2 linked regions of the Oreochromis niloticus genome follow. The protein of the gene in region 2 purifies or fractionates together with the protein of the main gene of each other region. This does not show direct contact. Links are inferred from orthologs where the notes say so. Each region holds a gene or a part of one and is shown on either strand. Other genes may lie near its edges.

Region 1 (7,344 bases), on a different chromosome or scaffold from region 2:
ATCCGGCGAACATGCGGAAGCAGATTTGCGTCGCGAAAACGCCAAAACCTGTGAAACGCGCGTCAGTGTACCGCGTGGGGCGCGTTTGACTCGCGAAGAAAACCACGCGTGTCAGATTGTGTGTTGCATTTTGTGCACACGCCCGTACCGCGCCAACCGCTGGAGTTGGAAAATCTGAACTCCGGCGTCAAATCGCGGCCCGACAACCAATCAGGAGGCCGGTGACGTGGCTGTAACCAGGTCACAGGGGCAGATCAAACCAAAGCCCTTCATTCTTCATTCAGTATGGAGGAAAAACTCATCACTGCCGTGGCTAATCACCCAGAGCTGTATGATGCCAGCTGCTACTTCTACCGAGACAGGAATAAAAAGGACCGAGCTTGGAGGCACAGAAGTGAGGAGATCGGGCAACCTGGTAAGTTCATTCATTCTCCTTTTTAATTTTCAGACTGACCCGATAAAGCCGCGCAAAAGGTAGCAAGCCCGCCTACTGTCCCGCTATTTTCCCACTGATGTACAAATACCTTTCCGCTAACAAGATAATGTGTTTATTCAGAGGACACTGAATAAACACTGATGTGTTTATGACGCCGGAGTTCATATTTTCCAACTCCAGCGGTTGGCGCGGTACGGGTGTGTGCACAAAATGCAACACACAATCTGACACGCATGGTTTTCTTCGCGAGTCAAACGCGCCCCACGCAGTACACTGACGCGCGTTTTACGGGTTTTGGCGTTTTCGCGACGCAAATCTGCTTCCGCATGTTCGCCGGATGCGCAATCGCGTGTCATCGCGCTCTTTCCATTGACTTTACATGTACACCTGACGCTCTGGCCGCCTCTATCGCGTTCGGTGTGTGCGCACCGTAACGGTGCGTTCACACCGAACGCCGATTGGCGCGAGCGAAAACGCCCCAAATTTGACGCGTGCACATTCGCACCTCAATGTGTGTCCAAGAAAAATCCATCGCGCGTCAAAATTGCATATTTTGACGCGCGTGAACTGGAAATGTGGGAGGAAGTTTTATTATGCTGTGCTTTTTCTCCGTCTGCGCGCCACTTTCGTGCGCCTTTTTCCCTCGCGGTGCAGGTGTGTATCTCCGAATGAGGGTCATAGTTATGAGTGTTTTTGTGCTGTTTTTTCTATTGGACGTGATGGTTATCAAAACCAAACATGATAAGTTTGGCAAGCGCAGGAGACACAGCACGGAGGAGATTTGTCAATCAGGCTGCAGAATGCAATGCGCATTGTTGAAAGCTGTACGGTGCAATAACAAAAATCAGCGAAATGTGACGGGTGAACAGCGGGACCACTGTATACTGTTTTATTAATAAACAAAATATATTCCTATATGACAACACGCATAAATTAACTGCCTACATTAATTCACTGTAAACCTTGTCCTTCTGACTGACACTCCCCTGCTGCCTCTCCGGGCTGTCCCTGGTCCTCGGGGGGGGAAGTTCTCCACGGTCCGCACCATATTGCCGCTAGTCTCCCGCGGGGTGAGGAAGGGGTCCAGAAACCCCATGACCGCGAAGAACTTCCATCTCTTCCCCGATCCTGCTGCAGACCCACTCCTCTTCTCCTTATTATATGTGTCCCTGAGGCTCTTCCACTTTCTCCTGCAGATGTCCTCTGAATAAACACATTATCTTGTTGGCGGAAAGGTATTTGTACATCAGTGGGAAAATAGCGGGACAGTGCGCGTCAGTACCTAGGTCACAGCCACATCACCAGCCTCCTGATTGGTTGTTGCGGCGCGATTTGACGCCGGAGTTCAGATTTTCCAACTCCAGCGGTTGGCGCGATACGCACGTGTGCACAAAATGCAACACACAATCTGACACGCGTGGTTTTCTTCGCGAGCCAAACGCGCCCCACGTGGTACACTGACGCGCGTTTCAGGCGTTTCAGGCGTTTTCGCGACGCAAATCTGCTTCCGAATTTTCACCGGACGCGCAATCGCGTGTCATCGCGCTCTTTCCACTGACTTTACATGTAAACCTGACGCTCTGGCCGCCTCTATCGCGTGAACGCACCGTAACACCAGTTTTACAACATGCTGGCTGCCTGCTAGTTTGTGCAATGACTTTAGAATCCTTTTAGCTGTTTTTAAGGCACTTCTTAGTCTCTGTACATCATATTTGTCTCACATGGTGCCAGGCTACGAATCATGACAGGCCCGTGGGTCCCAAAAAGCAGCTTTTAGCTTTTATTTTGTGTACATTACATTGCTAAGAACTGCATGTTACTTGTTTCGCTGTCTAATTTGTTCCGTTTCTGTTTCTCAGTTATCTGAAGCATTTTGAGCTGCACAGGTTGTTGTAGTTTATTTGTGTTTCATTTAACTAAAGTGATTTTTCTTGCCCACGTTCAGTTCATACCTGAGTTTTAGGTAACTGTAAAACTTGTTTATCTTTCTAGCAAAGCTGCATCGATGTGAAAGATTATCATGACAAGAAAGCAGCAGTCCCCAAGTTACTGGCATACTTTCCAGGCTTTGCATGTTGGTGTATAACGTTAGTATCACTTATGAAGTCCATCTGCGTGTAATTAAAGTGCCATCCTGAGTCATAAAGTCGTGACTCAGTGCCACGGGATCTCGCCCAGACTTGTTTTAAAAGGACTCCACCCTGATGCTTTGTCTGTGTGCAGAAAAACAAAAACAGCAGACTTCCAAAAAATATTTTACTGTTACTTAATTCCTAACTTTCCTAATGCTTTCTCTCTCTCCCACGGCTGTTTTTACCAAAACACACAACAGAGGGAGACAGAGAGCCGAATACAGAGTGTCAATATTTCAGAAAACGTGTCCAGATAATATTTCAGTAACAGTGTTTCTCTGGAAACAGCTGTGCAGCTTCGTCAGTGCGTTTTAATGAAACTATAGGCGTTTTCTCTTCAGCACGTATTCGCGTTGAAGATAACAATTAGCTTTAAACTAACCCGTGCTACCATGTGCACAAGAACTCTGAGAGTTCCGACCACAGTGATTCAATGACAAACAGACGCTGAGGGAGAACACCAGAGAAAATACCGCTACCCTGCGAATAAGCCCGCTCACAGGTACCGTTAAAGGTAAAAACACACCTTAAAATTTCACTGTAGAACTTCCCTTTATCGTCTGTGTTGTTTTGATCCGCCATGATGCCGGGTCTCCCTGCTACTGCAGCGCTCCTCTGGGTCCTAGTGACCGTCATATTCATCAGTTATAAAGTGGCCATCAGAGGGCGCCAAAGGGCTTAAAAATAAAGCACAGTTTAAAATCAGGGAAGGTTTTTTTTTTCCAGAATACTTGATTTGTTCAGGCCAAAACAAACCAAAGGGTCCCACAAGAAGGCAGAAAATTGGATCAGGCATAAATACTCTCTCTCTCTCTCCCTCTTGGTATGTGTGCTTATGCTTATTGCTCTGTGTGTGTGTGTGTGCTTATGCTTATTGCTGTGTGTGTGTGTGTGTGTGTGTCTACTTACCCTGCCTTACCTTACAGGGCGAGAATGCTGGTGGGATCTCTGCCCTCTCCCTGACACACCTGAAGCAAAACACCTGCAAAACATCTGGCAAACAGCTGACTATGCTGGGATGTGACATTCAGTCTTTGCCTGAGCTTTGTTTCACTGTGGCAGGTATCTTCTTGCTTGTTGCTTATCTGAAAAACTGGATTTTGACTACTCAGTCTTGTGTGCATTAATCTTATTATAATCTTGTTTTGTCTTCCATGGAATTTTATATATTTAATATTTTAATAGTTTGATATTTGTGTTATCATGTGTGTTTCTGTGTGTGTTGACCTCAAACTTTTGCTGCTGTACGTGACAATTTCTTTAACATCTAACCTTGAAACATGTTTATTTTTTGCTCAACAGATGTTTGCTTTCTACAAATCTGTCTGTTACTGTCTGTTGCTGGAAACAGTGGCATTCATCCCTATTTTGGTTTGTTTGCCCATTTGACATGTGATATGATCCAGTCCTGCCAGTAAATAATGCAGCCCACTTCAAGCTACCAATCAAAGTCCTTGTACAGGGCATCAGGAAGCAAGTCTTGCCAGTTGATGCCATTTGGCAATTCACCCTGGCAGTTAATTCATGTACACCCTTTTGAAATGAAACAGGAGAGAGCTTTAACCTGGAAATGACAGGCGAAATCCGAACAAACTATTCAAAATATTTGGAAAAACGACTTCAAGATAAAATTTAAAACACTTGTGTCTCCCAAGAAAAGAAGCCAATACATTTGTGTGTAATGTGTTTTTCTTCCTAAAGGTCAGCAGGGGGCTGCTGCTTTCTGCAGTAGATTGCCTGCTCACCCACCAAGCCAAACGTGTGCCCAGGTAGCGTTAATTCTAAATTAACTCCACTCAAGTTCTCTACCAGTCAAAAGTTTAGACACACCTTCTTTTCATGACTATTTACATTGTAAATTTTCACTGAAGGCTTAAAACTGTGAATGAGCATATATGGAATTATATAGTAAACAAAAAAGTGTGAAATAACTCATAACACGTTTTATATTTCAGATTCATCAAAATAGCCACCCTTCGCTTTGATTACTGTTTTGCACACTCCTTCACCTGAAATGGTTTTCCAACAGTCCTGAATGAGTTCCCAGAGATGCTGAGCACTTGTTGGCTCGTTTGCCTTCACTCTGTGGTCCATCTCATCCCAAACCATCTCAACTGAGTTTAGGTCAGGTGACTGTGGAGGCCAGGCCATCTGACGCAGCCCTCCATCACTCTCCTTCTTGGTCAAATAGCCCTCACACAGCCTGGAGGTGTGTTTGGGGTCATTGTGCTATTGAAAAATAAATGATGGTCCAACTAAACGTAAACTGGATCTGTTGGCATGTCACTGCAGGATGCTGTTGTAGCCATGCTGGATCAGTGTGCCTTCAACTTTGAATAAACCCCCACTAGTGTCACCAACAAAGCACCCCTACACCATCACACCTCCTCCTCCATGCTTCACGATGGGAACCATGCATGTAGAGACCATCTGTTTACCTTTTCTGTGTTGCACAAAGACACGGGTGGAACCAAAGATCTCAAATTTGGTTCATCAGACCAAAGCACAGATTTCCACTGGTCTAATGTCCATTCCTTGTGTTTCTTGGCCCAAACAAATCTCTTCTGCTTGTTGCTTTTCCTTAGTCGTGGTTTCTTAGCAGCTATTTGAGCATAAAGGCCTGATGTAGAGATGTGTCTGCTACTGGAACTCTATGTGGAACTGGGGACACATTCAAAGTTTTAGCAATTTTCTGAACTGACTGACTTTCAGTTCTTTAAGTAATGAAGGACTGTCATTTTTCTTTACTTAGCTGCCTGGTTCTTGCCATATGAATTCTGACAGTTGTCAAATAGGGCTGTCAGCTACCAACCTGACTTCTGCACAACGGAACCTATGGCGTAACCTCATTAAGAAGGCAAGAAATTCCACGAATGAACCCTGACAAGGCACAGCTGTGAAGTGAAACCATTTCAAGTAACTACATCATGGAGCTCATTTAGACAAGGCCAAGGGTTTGCAGCACTGTCAACAAAGCAAAGGGTGGAATCTAAAATATAAAACATATTTAGAGTTATTTATCATTTTTTGTCTTTGCTACATAATTACATATATCTATGTTCCATATATAGTCAAACTTATATATACACCGTTAGTACATAAGATACACCATGTCTTTTTCTCTCTCTCCCTCTTGGTATGTGTGCTTATTGCTCTGTGTGTGTGTGTCTACTTACCCTGCTTTACCTTACAGGGCGAGAATGCTGGTGGGATCTCTGCCCTCTCCCTGACACACCTGAAGCAAAACACCTGCAAAACATCTGGCAAACAGCTGACTATGCTGGGATGTGACATTCAGTCTTTGCCTGAGCTTTGTTTCACTGTGGTAGAGATCTCCTCACTGATCTGCACGTCGTGGTCCTTGTTGTCATCACAAAGATTTCTAATGTGTCTTGTCCTCTGTTTAAGACATCCCAGTGGTTCCCATCAGTTTTGGAAACGCTCCTTTGTTGGATTTTGTAAATAAGAAGCTTTTGAACTAAAAACTGCTGAAAGACTGTAAATAGCACAACCCTCACCTGCATTATAACTAAATCTCTAAACTTGCACTACTGAGTTTTGCGTTTGAGTCTGACCAGACAGATCCAAATCCATTTTATTTATGTAGCACATTTAAAAACAGAAAGTTAGCCTAAAGTGCTGTACAGAAACAAAGGGGTAAAACACAAGATAAAAAACACTGACACTCACATAAACACATAATAATACACATAATAAACATTAGACTTGTAGTCAAGACCGCCTAAACCAAGACCAAGACAATACCAAGACCAGAGGGTATCGAGACCAAGACAGACCGAGTCAAGACCAAGACAAAGTCGAGACGAGACCGAGACAAAAAAAGTCTTTAAACTGCAGCCAGATGCTGCCTCGTTTACGGGTGTCAGGCATATTTATGTGTTTTTGCGATGCACTCACACAGCCCTCCTCACCGCTGTCTACTGGCTGACTCACGTACTGAGAGGACAGACGCACGCTCCACTTGACTGTCGCGTCCATCACCCTCTCTGTTTTTCACATAATGATATTATCCTATATCCTTGCATGTGATTGGCCACAATATGGAGGGATTGGAGCACAGCTGAGCCACTGTGTGAGAGCTGAGCAGCCAAAGGAAATTAAGTGAGGAGCCGGCTCTCGCTCAATGGGAGTCGACACTTCTGATTCATTACAAAGCGCTCTCTAAGCACGGCTCTTAGAGCTGATGCTTTGCGCATGACACATTATCGAACGTTACGTTGTGTGTCATGGATACTGTTGACTCCAAATCTCCCGACCACTATGTTGATCTGAGACAACAAGACTGAGACAGCGAGACCAAGACAAGACCGAGACCATGTAAAAGTGGTCTCGAGACCGGTCTCAAGACCAAGAAGGGTCTTGAGACATCCAACTCTAATAAACATATCAACTCACACCAGTCTAAACGCTATCGAAAAAAGGTGAGTTTTCAAAAGTGACTTGAAAACTGGAATGAAGATGCCTGTCTAATATTTAAAGGCAGCATATTCCAAAGTCTGGGAGCCATAATTGAAAAGGCTCATTCTCCTCTACGCTTTAGCCTAGATTTTGGGACAACCAACAGCAGCTCATCTGATCTGAGGGTCCGCGAAGGAATATATGGCTGAAGTAACTCGGAAAGGTATGGGAGAGCAAGATCATTTAGGCATTTCTAAACCAGCGTTAGGATTTTAAAATTAATTCTGTCATGAACAGGAAGCCAATGAAGAGAGGACAGGATAGGTGTTACATGTTCATGCCTGCAGGTACCAGTTA
Region 2 (7,510 bases):
CTTTACCTTACAATATAAAACACCTTGAAATGACCTCTGTTGTGATTTTGCGCTATATGAATTGAATAGAACTGAATTGAGCTGCAGATTTGTTGGCTGCATATCTGTGATGAAAGTCTCCTGGTTCACCACATCCCAAAGGTGCTCTAATGGACTGAGGTTTGTTAACCGTCGGGGATATTTGAATGCGGTGAACTCGACTCAAGATTGTTCAAGAAACAAGTTTGAGAGTATTTATGACATTCTGTTCCAGCAGAAGATGGAAACACCGTGGCCATAAAGGGATGGATTTTTGGCAAGTAGGCTGTGGTGTTCATACAAGGCACAGTTTGTACCCCGAAGTATGCCAAGAAAATATCACCAGCCTGAATTGTTGATACAAGACGTGATGCATCCATGCTTTTGTGTTGGTTATGCCAAAAGCTACTATCCAAATATCACAGCACAAATTGACACTCAACACACAACGCAATGTTTTTCTAATTTTTATCCAATTTTGGTGAGTCTGTGTAATTTTCAGCCTCAATTTTTTGTTCTCGGCTGACAGGAGTGACAACTGCTGTGGTCTTCTGCTGCTGTTGCCCATCAAGGTTCAATGTGCTGTGCTTTCAGAGATGCTCTCTCGCAGACTTGAACAAATGCTTGTTTGAGTTAATGTTACCTTCTTATCAGCTCAAAGCCATTCTCTTCCGACCTCTAGCATCAATGAGGCATTTTCGCTGGGCAAACTGCAGCTCACTGGATATTTTCTTCTTCTCTGTAAACCATAGAGATGGTTGTGTGGGGAAAATCCCGGCCGATTAGCGGTTTGTGAAATACTCAGACAGACCATCCAGCACCAGCAACTATGCCATGTTCAAAGTCATCTAAGTCACCTTTCCTCCCCATTCTGATGCTCACTTTGAATATATCATAACTCCATCTACATACACAGACCTACATACAGTCCATGTATTGTATACAAACTCGTGCACATTTGTAATTACAGAATGTTTTTTTTCAGGTTATTCAGCAGATTTGTTAAACCTTTATCTTTATGATATAAATAAACTGCAACACAACACAAATGTAGCAATAACTTCTCAAAAACTATGATGCTAAAACTACTTTCCACTACACTTAAAATCATAGCTTAATATGCTAATAGGCATGCTAATCAATGAGTTAATAACAGTAGTATATGACTGTAGTATTTCCCTGAAGGTTTTCAAAGCATGTCATACTTTATGAAATGTCAACCATTTCAATGAGCAGAAACCTCAATTAAAGGTCATAGTTCGGGTGGCTTTAAGCAAAGCACTGTTACCTCCCGTGACTCAGTGCTTTAGCTAACATGGCATTTGAACGTGGTATTAAATGTGGTGTTACTGTCAGCAGAGGAGTTGTAGTATCTGATCAAGGACTCCTTCTTGTCTCTAACAGAGCTTTTTCTCTTGAATTGGCATAGTTCATTTCAATAATGCATTTTCATAGTGTTGCCACCATGAAAAAAAAAATCTGCTTCCTTTAACTACTGATTTTATATTTAATGGCCTTATAACAGACTTCTATAACACAGCATCTATAACAGATATGTTTCTTGCCATGATCTAATAAAACTAACGGACTGTCATTACTACAGTTATCACACCAGATTAAATAAAACAGAAAATAATAGACTTGGAATTCATGTTTTAATAAAGATACTTCTCTCCCTATAAGTGGATATTTACATAGCATGAAATGAAACTATGATGCTATATATTATCACTATCCCATAATTAGAGCCCCACACAAATATAGGTTGGGCCAGGTTACTGACTCCATAATGTACAATGCACTCAGCACTCAGCACTTTTGCAGCAGAGGACACGTCACACCTGAACACACAGAGTTTGGTGCGTTCACAGTAAGTTTCAAATCAGTTTGTGAAGTACATGATTGTAAAGATAGTTTAAAAAAAAAAAAAAAGTCCCATTGTTTCCTTTTCCATTATAGCTCTAACAGATGTTGAATGTAGGTTATATATAGTCTCTCAGTTTCTGTCAGCGTCAACCTTAAAAAGTTTTCTGCATTCATAAGTCCACCAATTTTAACAAGGTCTCCAACAGTACTGGCTGAAACGCAGCTCTAAACCATGACAGACCCTCCACCGTGTTTTACAGACGGCTGTAGACACCCACTGTTGTAGCTCTCTCCTGGCCTCCTCGATACATAATGACAATGGTTTCAACCAAAACTTGTAAATTTAGAGTAATCTCTCCATCACACCTGTTCCCACTGATTTCCAGACCAGTTATTGTGCAATTTGGCATACCTCGGCCTTTTTCCCTGTTTTCCTTCCTTAAGAATGACTTCTTGACAGCCACTCTTCTACATTGCCATATGTTCCTGCATGTTAACTCTGAGGAGCACTTCCAGGCATTTATCACTTAAACTTGGCTGGATGTTTAATCATGGCTACACACAATGTATTGTTCCTAAACAAACTTTATTTTGGAAAAACTGATACACTATTATTTGCCAGTCTTGAGGTGTGGAAGCCAGGATTACTAGGAAGTCCTCAAACAACTTCTGACTTGACTCTGGATCAGCTGGTCTGTTTATATAATTATGGCTGTTAAACGTTTTCTTTTTTCTTTTCTAGTCCCCATTTTAAAAAGTATTCACACCGACACTCCAGGAGGTTTGTACACAAATATTATTTTTCTTGATATCTAAAGCTGGGACTAGACAGCGTTTCATCTCAGAAGAAAAATCACACACCACACGGGAAAGGAAATGAGTAGAGTTAAATGGGGCCTCAGCCCAGGCAGCGAGTTCAACATGACACATGTAAACATCCTCAGAGTTCATATCTCTCTCTGTGTGTGTGTGTGTGTGTGTGTGTGTGTGTGTGTGTGTGTGTGTGTGTGTGTGTGTGTGTGCATGGATGGGGTGCAAGAACGGCACACCTATTGCAGTTTTTGCTGCACCACCTAGAGGGCGACAACAGCCATCATCAATTTAAGTCCTTCCTGTTCACTATAGATAAGTTGTTTTTAACAATGAAAGTCCTCAGTGCACAGTTTAAGTCTGCACATGCTTCCAGATGTTGCAGTGTCAGAGGAAGCAGACAACCTCATCTATAGTCACAGTCTGAATGTCTATAGCCACAGCCTACAGCTGAGAGGAGGACTGTGAAAAATGCAAGCAAGCAAATACATTTTTCAAAACATATTTTAATGGCTTTTCCAGCACACAAATGATCATAACAGAATTATCTCAAAAGATTCTTATACTATGAATCTGCATTTCTCAGATTCATAGGCTCTTCACTACCTACAAGAAGGCCGAACTTTCCAGCAGTATGACAATATGCACTAGAACTTCTCAAGCTTCACCTTCCAGCCAGTGATTGAGCTCTGTGCTCCTCTGGAACTTAACTCATCAGCACCCAGTTTCAAACTGTCAGTAAAACTTCCAACTGGTACCAGTTTCATCAGAGTCCAGAAATCTTGTGGGCATTTTTACTATTATGGATAAAATATTATGAGATTTTCAAATGTCACACTTGCCGTTCGCAGCTGTCAGTGTAGCATTAATGCTATGGATGACATCCTCTCCCTTTGGTCTAAGACTGGTTTCAGATTTCAGGCGAATAAATGGCTGGTCAGCAAAATAGTGCATCATAACCGGAAAGCTTTTCCCCAGCCTTAAATGATGTCATTAAATGTTGTTGGATTTTTGTTTTTAAGGTGAAGTATTCGTAGAACTGTAACCTGTGAATTGGACACACAACTGACATTAAACACCGGAATACAGTAAATCTATTTTTTAAGCACAGGTTCTTGGTTTCAGGAGAATTTATTGGGTAGAGGAAAGGGTGAAGAGAGAGCAAGTGACACAGGAGCGATGCATGGGCTCCGACTGCGAAAACAAAAATGACAAAATATGATTCAATAAAAAAGTGATCAAAGACTGAATATAGACTCTGGTTATGGAGTCAATCACATTATGTAGAATTACAGTAATGTCTCTGTCAGTGTGTGGATGAGAGGCTCCAGGTCATTTAACTGAACAATAATGTCTCTAATAGTGTTTGTTGCAGTGGCGCTCATATATCTAAAGATCCCAGGCTTTGCGAGTCTGCAAATTAAACATCGACATTAATGTTACTGTTTATTATTTTTTGATGAGACAATGTCTCGCTAAAATGAATAAAGTCATCAGGCAGCTGTAAATGCAGTTTTGTATTCTTTCTTTCTTTTATATAAGATCAGTTGGTGGAAGCAGTTCATTAGATGTCAGTAAAAAGTAATTATAACGATGCAGGAACTAATTTAGTGCATAGAGTACTGAGCAAAACTCCCGAGTCACCACTCATCTTTTTATATTTTGCAAACATACATAAAATCAAATTAAATTAAATAAAAACTCCTATTTTTTTCAGAGTCTGGAGAAGTATTGTTAGGACCACTTTAAAAATAATAGGAGAGGCAGTCTCCTCGGAAGCAAAATACAAAGAAATGATGTGTGGCTCAAAACCTTTGCCCAGTATTTACCTATAAGTTAATTTTAGGACTAGCATGATGAAAAGAAATGATTGACTTAAAAAAAAAAAAAAAAAAAAAAAAGCCCCCGAAAGGTGATGTCTCCTGTCTGCGTACGTGTTTTGCACGGACAACAAAAACGTTTCCGCACGGACGATTTTAACAGTCGCACTGGGTGACAGCGTGCCGTTTCAACAGCATGGCGTCACGTAGTGGTTATTGAGCCGGTGTTTCGCTTGCAGCTTTGTTTGGTAACGAACATGTCGGGAGCGTCAGGCGGAGAGAAACGCCCTCCTCCGAACTGGATCCTGCAGCATCCCGCGGTGAGTGTTAGAGCAGCTCCGTGTGTGCAGGCAGGGAGTCTGCCCGGAATGTACTGTGAGTAATCTGTGTGTGTGTGTGTCTCTCAGTACCAGCAGATGAAGGACCTGCAGGTTGGGGACAGCGCTCAGGTGCATGCAGCTTTTCTTGTGTACATGGATCTTACTGAGGGTGAGTTTGGCAGGGTTCTGAAACACGGGAGTCAGTTTGAGATTCCCTGTGTGGTGTATCCTGGACTCCTTACATCTCCCAGCTCTTCCTCCTTTCTTACAGAAGGAAAAACTTGATGTCATAACTTAAGCTCATACTCACACTGAGCTTGCTCTCTGCAGTGCGGCGCTGGAAGGAGGTGTCCTGCGTGAAGAGTCCTGAGCTGCAGGTGGTTTTACTGGAAGCGAGGGAGAAGGAAGGCGCACCCACTCTGACGATCCTTCCCCTGCCTGCTCACCAGTCTGTGACTCACAAAAGGTGTTAAGACGCTGGTCAAGCTCCCACACTTTCACCCTCACAGGTTACCCTCCCAAACCTCTGAGTCTTACGGCTTCTTCCTTTTCTGCTGTGCAGCATACGACACGTCCTGGACAGAGGCTTTCCTATGCTGCTGTGTGCAGTAGCCGCTGACTCCACGCTGGTCTACCAGAGGATGACTGACGGCCTGGTGACGCCGGACCCTCCTGTAGGACCTTTTCAGGATGTGGGACGCCGTCAGCACCGGAAGAGACGGCAGCAGCGCTGAGCAGCTGACTGAGAATGTGATGTATTGCTCAAAAATGGAAAACAGCCCCACAGGACCCCTTAAGCGGGAGTATGTGATTGTTAGGACGACCTTGCGGAGACCTTTGGCATCGTGAAGTTCACCTCAGATGCATGTTGATAGGTTAAGGCAAAGAGATAAAATTAACCTTAAGAAAAGGGTGCAGAGATTAGAAGTAACATTCCTTTTTTAATGACAGTTGAACTCCTGTTACAATCTGGAGTGGTGTGGTTTGTTTGCTGCAGTGTATGCACACTACAGAGTTGACTAGAAGCTTTCACAATGAAATCAGGGATGCCATATCTCGTTTCCATGCCTCCATAGAAACCTTTCAATGGGGCCAGATGAGTCTGCATCCACAAAACTTACAGCTACGAAGCCAGTGAATATATATATGATAAATGTGAAAAATTACAGGAAAAGTAGTTCCTGAAAAGGTAGTTCATTACCCAGACTGTCCTGCAATTCTGAAATATAAAGTCTTTGTTAATTTAAGGAAAATGATCTTTGTTTGTTGTAAAACAAAAACAGACATTTCTATAGTAGATTGTAGGAAAACAGGAACTTATCTGTCATTTGTGGTGTGAATGGCAAAGCTGTAACACTAATGAAGATACAGCTAAAAGTTCATAATCTATGCACTCCTTTGATTTTTCCGAAGCTGTCCAGTGGGTTAGATCAGACACTTCATTTCATTATTTTCATTTTGTACCTTTTCTGCATTTGTTCATGAGGGAAATGTCTCTTGTTTGTCTAAAAAGCAACGCAGAAAGTAGACACAAGGGGATAGTGTCTCAAGTCTAATATTTTGGGGGAGGCTGTGTGCACGTGTCCCCCTGAAATTTACGCCTATGGTTTATAATCCATGTCAACACATTGGTTTTTGACATGAATCCCTTAAACACAATTATTAAGACCTATTATAAATGTCAGTGATTGTTTTATTTATTGTAAAAAAACAAATGTGCCTTATTTTGAAATAAACATCAGGTGTGAGAAAGACTAATAGTTCAAAATGTATTCTTTCTTAATTTTTTAAAAAAAAGGACCTAAGGTAAACATTGCTTTATTTTTTAAAAACTTGGTGCCAATGCTGAAGTATGATTTGAGGGATGTTATGAATGTTAAAGGTGTTTTTCCACAGCAGGCATTTTGGCTGGAAATGGTAAGTAAACAGGTGTTACTAAATGCAGAGCTTTGATTAATGTGATTAGTAACACCTGTTTCAAAAATGGCTGCTGACGAAGGTCTGAGTTAGCACGCCAACTAACTCAGCTTGTCGATAAAAGTTGCAAATTGTTTCCCGCTTCAGTTTGTAGACTTTATAAGTACCAAAAAAATCGTTAAAACGTTCTTTTATTAATTTTGGAGTGCAGTGCAGAGATACCTGTGTTGGTGTATATAGTGTGTTTGCCAATAATTCAACAAGCAGAAGTTGTGCTTGCAATCATTTTGAAATTGAGGCCATTAAATTTTGTGTCCACCAGAGAGCACTGATGATATTTTTCAGCACAAAGGATGAAAGATGTCAGCAGTGATATTAAATAAGTAATTATTGCTGCTCATCAATCTGGGAAGAGTTACAAAGCCCTTTAAAACACTTTGATGTCCATCCTCCTCCTGTGAGAAAGATAATGATGCGATCGTCTCAGTAGTGGACATCTCAGTAAACTAAGACCGTGCAATCTCAGACTCTACATCAGTGTCAGCATGTTAAATGTTAAACTTCATGACATCAAAGTTAGAAACAGACGGAGCCATTATGGCCTGTTTGGAAAGGTTATCAGGAGAAGACCTGCTCACTTTGAAAGAACATGCCAGCACAGCTCCATCTGAACAAACACAAGACTTGGGGAACAATGTCCTCCGAACAGATGAAGCCAAAGTGGAGATATTTTTCCACTTTCCATGCATTGCTGAAAAC

Evidence for each region. The genes of interacting proteins can lie anywhere in the genome.
Region 1: the proteins of tsen15 (region 2) and tsen54 purify together in Homo sapiens (affinity purification with mass spectrometry; 4 studies listed by BioGRID and IntAct, counting the BioPlex papers as one, with this or other methods). This does not show direct contact. The link is inferred for Oreochromis niloticus from reciprocal best matches to the Homo sapiens genes TSEN15 and TSEN54.

The regions. Positions count from the first base shown.
Region 1 is NC_031969.2:32,227,310-32,234,653, forward strand, and holds the start of tsen54 (tRNA-splicing endonuclease subunit Sen54), read right to left. Parts: upstream 3,337-7,344; 5' UTR 3,211-3,336; coding exon 3,095-3,210; intron 1-3,094.
Region 2 is NC_031982.2:10,348,236-10,355,745, forward strand, and holds tsen15 (tRNA-splicing endonuclease subunit Sen15), read left to right. Parts: upstream 1-4,617; 5' UTR 4,618-4,771; coding exon 4,772-4,834; intron 4,835-4,921; coding exon 4,922-5,003; intron 5,004-5,164; coding exon 5,165-5,300; intron 5,301-5,396; coding exon 5,397-5,568; 3' UTR 5,569-6,592; downstream 6,593-7,510. UniProt on the Homo sapiens protein: Non-catalytic subunit of the tRNA-splicing endonuclease complex, a complex responsible for identification and cleavage of the splice sites in pre-tRNA. It cleaves pre-tRNA at the 5' and 3' splice sites to release the intron.